Linked DNA regions of Coturnix japonica. The protein of the gene in region 1 interacts with the protein of each later gene in a biochemical or structural test. Links are inferred from orthologs where the notes say so. Each region holds a gene or a part of one and is shown in the gene's direction. Other genes may lie near its edges. The genes, in order: INSR and GRB10.

Region 1 (3,824 bases):
ATTCTGTCCCTTTGTTATACTATGTAGCCATTAGTGAACAAATATAACAACTGGAGGTTTTTCAGATGAATCGTTTTCTTGATCTGGTTTGCCACATATCAACACATGCAGACCTGCCAGCATGGTGGGGAGTGAGGAACATAATGATTACCTACCTAAAATGTGAAAACACGCATTGAGCCGCAGCCTCGGGGCTATCGCAGCTCTGCTTGGGCAGAGTGAAGGCAGCACAAGGAGTGAGCTGTCTGAAAAGGTCATCTCCTCCCTTGAGACAGCGGCGAGGCCTTCCCACATTCGGGATGAGGCTGGATTTGGGGTTCAGGTCCAGCTCTCCTGTGGCATTGCAGCTCCCAGGCTGGCTGGTTGCTTTGTGCTGAAGGCAGCTGGACCACAGGGTCGCATTTCTCCATGCCAGCTTTAACCCTGCCTTGCTGTGCTGCTCTCCGTGCCACCCTCCACCTCAGACCACACGTTGCTGGTGTGTTTGGCTTTATGATTTTATGGTTCAACTTTAGTTTTCACATTGGCAGCATCCTGTTTACAAAAAAAAAACACACACACAACCAACTCCCAGACACAACACCTTGTTTGTGCTGGATGTGTGGACAGCAAAGTGAATGTTCTTCACCCCGTGTGCAGCTACTGCAGGAGTGGCAAATCCCATCAGGGCTGTGCAGTTTGTCCTTGGGCTGCTTGGACATTCCGTATGGTAATGCTTCCCTTGAGAATCAATGCTCCACCCCTCCTGCAACTGTTTGTTGTCCTGAGCTGCTGTTTGCAAAGGGAGCGTGCTGCCCCTGGGCGAGGCGGTGCCTACAGAATGGATGCAGACCCCATTACCGGGTCTCTGTGTTTATCTTGTCGTGAATTTTAAAGCATGTTGCCTTTAGATTTCACACTCAGTAAAACTCAGTTCAGCTTTTATAGGATTATTTTCATAGAGTTGTAGAAAAATGTAAGCTGGCAGGAACCTCAGGAGGTCATCTGTTCCAACCCCTGGCTTAGGGCAGGGATAGCATCGACGTAAGATAAGTTTTTAATGAGCAGTTCTCAATATCAAGGTTCTCATATTTTTCCCCAGAGGACAGAAAGTTCTGCAGTACTGAAAAATAGAAAACTTTCTCTCAGCGTTAACAAAACGATCATCATTTCTGTTTTGTTGTAGGTGAAAACGAATTGCTGAAGTTCTCTTCCATTAGAACATCCCATGACAAGATCCTGTTGAAGTGGGAGCCGTATTGGCCTCCTGATTTCCGTGACCTCCTGGGATTTATGCTCTTTTACAAAGAGGCGTAAGTGGCAGCTCAGGGAGAGGGGAACTTGAGCAACCAATGGTTGGGCTACAAAACAACAGCCCAGCCAATGCTGGGCTTCCACAAATGACATTTGGCATTGAAGAGTAGACATTAAGACTGCTGTGGTCGTAGCTAATTAGGAGTCAGACAATCAGAGACCACACTTAAGTTTCCAATGTTGCCCTTTATATAAGTATTAATTACATTCCCTGGCTTAAGTGAGTTGTATAAAGTCAAAATCCCTCATTTAAGAGCAACCCCAACATCAGTTGTTCCAGCTGCTCCAGGTGTACAGATCCCAACCATCTCCCCACTGTCTCCAGAGTTATTTATTCCCCTTTACATGGGAAACACTTTTAAAAGTCGGTTTTGCCAAACTGGTTTTCACACAGCTGAAAATAATTAGCTGAGATTGAGGTTGGGTTGTGTGTGGAGCTGTACCTGATGTGTGGTGCTGGTAGGAGACTGGGTTACAAAGCTCCCTAAGCTTTATTTCTAGAATACACAGGATATGCAGGATGAGATCATTAGAATTTATGTGAGGGTGAGGGATGCCTTCAGACACCATGTCTCCAAAAGCTCGGTGTCAGGATTCTGTTAACTTGAGGCTTATTTTTGTTTGTTTTTAAGTCCATACCAAAACGTGACGGAGTTTGATGGGCAGGATGCCTGTGGCTCCAACAGCTGGACGGTCGTGGATGTGGACCCACCGCCGCGGTCCAACGAGCCCAAAGCCCAGGCCCAGCCAGGTTGGCTGCTGCGGGGCCTGAAGCCATGGACACAGTATGCTGTGTTTGTTAAAACTCTGGTCACCTTCTCAGATGAACGAAGGACATACGGCGCAAAGAGTGAGATCATCTACGTCCAGACCAACGCTACAGGTCAGTTTCATTGGCTTAATGTTGCACTGTGAATGAAAAGCTGACTTCTGGTGGGTAGTCACAGTAGGGCCATGTCTGTGGAACTCTGCTGGTGTTGCTCTCCCTTTGTGGGAAGGTGTTCCTAAAGAAATGGAATGATGTGTGTTTCCCTGAGCGAGGAGGGAGCACCGTTGTGCTCCTGTTCCCTCAGGTTCACGTGGCCGTGGATGAGAGCCCATGTGTCCTGCCTTTGTTCGTGGGAAAGGGAACTCACTTGTGGAGCTGTCACAGAGCTGTGGAAGTGACCTCTGTCCCTTTTCCACCCACACAGTTCCGTCAGTCCCATTAGATCCAATTTCTGTTTCCAACTCTTCATCCCAAATCATCCTGAAGTGGAAGCCGCCCTCGGAGCCCAATGGCAACATCACACACTACCTGGTGTTCTGGCAGCAGCAGGCGGAAGACAGTGAGCTTTATGAACTTGATTACTGCTTAAAGGGTGAGTTCCAGTTCTCTCTCTGTGCCCTTCTTTCAGGCCTTCCAGATGGTGGAGCTCTCTCAGCATTTATGGGGATTTTTCATGCACTTTGGAGATGCTCCGGTGCTGTTGTTCAAGAAAGAGTTTGAGACACAGTTGTGTTATCCTATTCAGTTGCATTTACATTAGTCACTATTGCTAAGTCATGTGCAAAAGATCTTCAAAACCCTTTTGGCACAAAGTAATCAAATATGTATTTTTTGAATCTCCCTTCTGCACTTGTTCTTTTTAAACTGAGCTTCAAGTTTAATAACGGCTGTGGAAAAGCAGAGTAAAACATTGCAGTACTTCTGGGGATCAGTGGCCAAGTTAGTTTTTGAAGGCATTTTGTGCTGTGGGGTTTGGAATGCTTTTAGGATTCATAATTCCACTGAGAACTCCCAGAATCTGCCACCCCGTGTTCCCAAACTGAAGGGAACAGGGGTAGAACTCTGGCAACAGTGACATCTGAGCTTCATTTCAGAGTTAGCACAGATCTGAATCAGAGCCCTGTCATAAGAGAGGGAATGTGACCCTAGATATGAAAGTGTGGGAGGCAGAATGTGCCATGAATTTTGTGTACGCTCGTTTTGGATCTTGGTAGGATCAAACATCTACTTCTGGTATGCCAAGCATGAACGATAGTAAAATTGTTTTGTCCTTAGGATTAAAACTGCCCTCAAGGACGTGGTCTCCTCCTTTTGAATCTGAAGACCCTCAGAAGTATAACCAAAGCGAAAGTGAGGATGTCAGCGGAGAATGTTGTTCCTGTCCTAAAACTGACTCTCAGATCCAGAAGGAGCTGGAGGAGTCTGCTTTCCGCAAGACCTTTGAGAACTACCTTCACAATGAGGTTTTCGTCCCCAGGTACGAGCAGCTGCGTGGTGTGGGCTGGGAGCTGAGCTCTGCTCCTGTTGTTGTTGGGATGTGGAAGATCCCACCCTGTTTCCTGTCTCTCAATTCTCCTCAGCTTGAGATTAAGGGGAGAATCCTCCACAAATATCTAAAGCCCTGTAGCTGGCTCTAACTTGTGTGATGCCAGAAATAGCCTTTTTTTTTGCTCTTAAAATGTTGTGGTCTCACTTTTCATCCCGTTGAAAAGAAAGGTGAAGTTTTCCACGCCACAGCCTTGTCCTTCAGTGTGGTATTTGC
Region 2 (3,111 bases), on another chromosome or scaffold:
AATACAAAAAAGCTTCATGCATACGTAGGTCACTCTGAAAGTAATGCCTCCTACATGGGTTGCTCAAAAAGTAATGGTTTTTATTTATTTCTGTGGAAAAAAGTACCGATACACAATAAAAACTATTTGATAGAGCAAATTCTCAGCTACAAAGCACCACCATTAGCTAACCATTTTTGCTAGTGATGAACAAGAGCATGGATGCTGCACACGTAAAAATCTGTGTCAGTGGAAGCGACCCACAGTTTCACAGCTGCTGTGATAGTGTTGTTGCACACACCGTTCATCAGGTGTCAAGGCTGACACCTTCAGCCTCGTATTGGTTCAGTATCCTGACAATCTTGCACACGGTGTTCTTTCTGCCTCAGTATTTGAGTTTTTTGGGGCCTTCTTGGTATAAACTTTGCAATATTCCAGTGTTCCCACCATTGTTTCCAACGTATTGAAGCCTATATTCAGCTCCATACACAGTTCTGTGATTATATTCTGGAGATTTGTGCAGCTTATCTTTCACGTGACTGCTGCCACTGCTGAAACGCACCGGTCACTGCCTCACTGTGCTCACATCCACTGTTTTATCTCCATAAATGTTCTGCAAGTGTCAGTGAATGTCAGTGGGTACAGTTTCTTTTGCATGGAGGAATTCAGTGACTTCATCACTTGGCTTCATCCACACTTCCATGTCAGATGCCATTCTGTCAGGCTTCCCCTCTGCTGCCATCTGTCACATGGCAACAAAATGTAATGAAATATTGGTGGGAAGGTTCAACCTTTACTGCCATACCACCAACATCTGCCTCTGACATCATGGGCCAACTTCATAAAGTAAGAGGCATTACTTTTGAGGCAGCCCGCAAAAGGGGAAGAACATAAATTGGGGAAGAAATGATGACATGCATTTTTCACTTTCTCTTCTTCTGTTAGTCTTGCATAAGCCTGGTATAAAAACGAAGAGCAAATTGCCGGTTAAAGCAACTGAAGAAGAGTTAAACAATAGTACAAAATTACTTAGTACTTCTGATTATTTACATGGAAATGGATTGTTGTATTTACTGTGTGCTTAAAAATGTTCTCTTCTAGGCTATTTCTTCTCCGGGACAGCCAAAGCAATCCAAAGGCATTTGTACTTACACTTTGCCATCATCAAAAAATAAAGCATTTTCAAATCTTGCCGGTAAGTAACTTTTTTTTTTCTTTTCAAAACTGATAATAAAAATAGAATAAATTGTAAACTGACAGCATTGTCATCATCCAGAGAGGCCTCATTTTACCTACTAATGGCATGAACAGGCATGTTTCCATTAGGAAATACAATTCTTTAGAATTGTCAAAATTCTGAATAAAATTCTGTCTTAACATTACCTGGAAAACTAATTTAAACCACTGAGGTATAACAGTAATGCAACATAACTTGTACTTGACTGGCAGCAACAGCCGCACTTGTCTCCGTACCACTTCAGCAAACTTAGAAGAAGTTACAGGAGGTTTTAAAAAGTTTATCTGAAATTTTATCCCATATTGTTGAGCTCAAAAAAATCTTATACTGAGGCAGTGAGAACTACTTGATTTTATCTTGGCCAGAAAGAGCAGCAAAAGTTTAAGATCTTGTAGACCTGCTTATTGGCCCAAACCCTCTCATTTTGTCTTGCTAACTTTGGAAACAGCCATCAATTATTTTTGTGGTATTTTTGCTTTATGTAAGAGAAACCAGTGCTGTCTCTACAACTTAGAATTACTCTGCCTACCAGCTTTCACTTTTGTGCAGAAAAGATTTCCAGTTGGCTCAACAAAAATTCTCCTCTAGCACTGTGCCTGCTTTCAGGCAGAACTCTAGATACCGGGTTTTCTGTGCAGTGCCTGTCATTTTATGTCACATCACACACTTTTACTTGTCCTGTGTTTGCAACATTCACGTCTTCCCACGTGCTAACTTGAAAAGGACGTTTTATTTCCCCAGTGCGAGGATGATGGACAGATATTTTTCAGCCTGGATGATGGGAACACCAAATTCAGTGATCTAATCCAGCTTGTTGAATTCTATCAACTAAACAAAGGAGTCTTGCCCTGCAAACTCAAACACCACTGCATCCGAGTGGCCTTATGACCTCAAATTTGACTCTCACTGAAGACTGGATTTGCTAGAAGAGTAATTGTAAGAGAACGTTGATACTGGGGAATTGGCAGATTTGTAAGTTGGTAAAAATAAATAAAAATATTATGCACCTTGGGACTCTGAAAGGGATGGATTCAACAGGTGCCAACAGACCGACATTACTGGTTTGTCTAACACCTAAGAGTGATTGCTGCTGAGTGTCCCAGCATCCCAAAAAATGGGGGTGGGGTGGGGGAGGGTTCGTAAAACTATTAGTAAATTTGAAACAAAACTGGAAACTATCTTGGCTGGGCCACTTAACAGGAACAAGTGTGAAGATAAATCTTTGAAAAGAACTCTTGCCCTGGAATAATCTTGACAATTAAGACTAGTGTGTTTACTTTTTGTATTGATCACTTTTTTTGCACTCCTACTTTGTTTTGGATATTGTATGCAGCCTATATTAGGAGCTGATGTGGCTTTTAAAATTCATGCAGGAGTTGGGTATTAATCTGCACCCTAAAATGTATGGAATGCTTCAGCCTAAACGGATCTAGAAGAAAATCAAGAAGTGTGCGTGTCATGTGTCTGTATGTGTGTGTGTGCGTGTGTGCATCTCAAAACTTCTCTGGAGACCTGAGGTTCCGTGATCTGCAGAAGTCTTTGAAGAAGCAATGAGGATACAATTCTAACAGAACATACCACCATGTGTGTACTCTCAAAACTGTTGACTTGTAGCATTATGGCTGTAGTATGTTGTGGCATATTAGTGGCATCCAGTCATGCGAAGACTGTATTAGATTCTATGCACAAACTTTTATTATTGAAGTGGTTTGTTTTTTACAGCCTTTTGACTGTTTTCCTGAGGAAACCTACTGTTACTAAACAGAGTAGGACTGAATGACAGTTGTATCTGAAACCACCCTTTGTTTTTTTTGTGAGAAGATTCTTCTACAGGTAGTCTTAGTTAGAGAAAACAAAAGCAAACAAATAGCAACAACAAAAAAGAAACAACAGTG

What was found.
Region 2: the proteins of INSR (region 1) and GRB10 form a complex in vitro, tested with the Homo sapiens proteins (5 studies listed by BioGRID and IntAct). The link is inferred for Coturnix japonica from reciprocal best matches to the Homo sapiens genes INSR and GRB10.

What each region holds. Positions count from the first base shown.
Region 1 is NC_029543.1:3,177,030-3,180,853, reverse strand, and holds part of INSR (insulin receptor), read left to right. Parts: intron 1-1,165; coding exon 1,166-1,292; intron 1,293-1,925; coding exon 1,926-2,176; intron 2,177-2,486; coding exon 2,487-2,654; intron 2,655-3,337; coding exon 3,338-3,539; intron 3,540-3,824. UniProt on the Homo sapiens protein: Receptor tyrosine kinase which mediates the pleiotropic actions of insulin.
Region 2 is NC_029517.1:49,909,261-49,912,371, forward strand, and holds part of GRB10 (growth factor receptor-bound protein 10), read left to right. Parts: intron 1-1,080; coding exon 1,081-1,174; intron 1,175-1,957; coding exon 1,958-2,104; 3' UTR 2,105-3,111.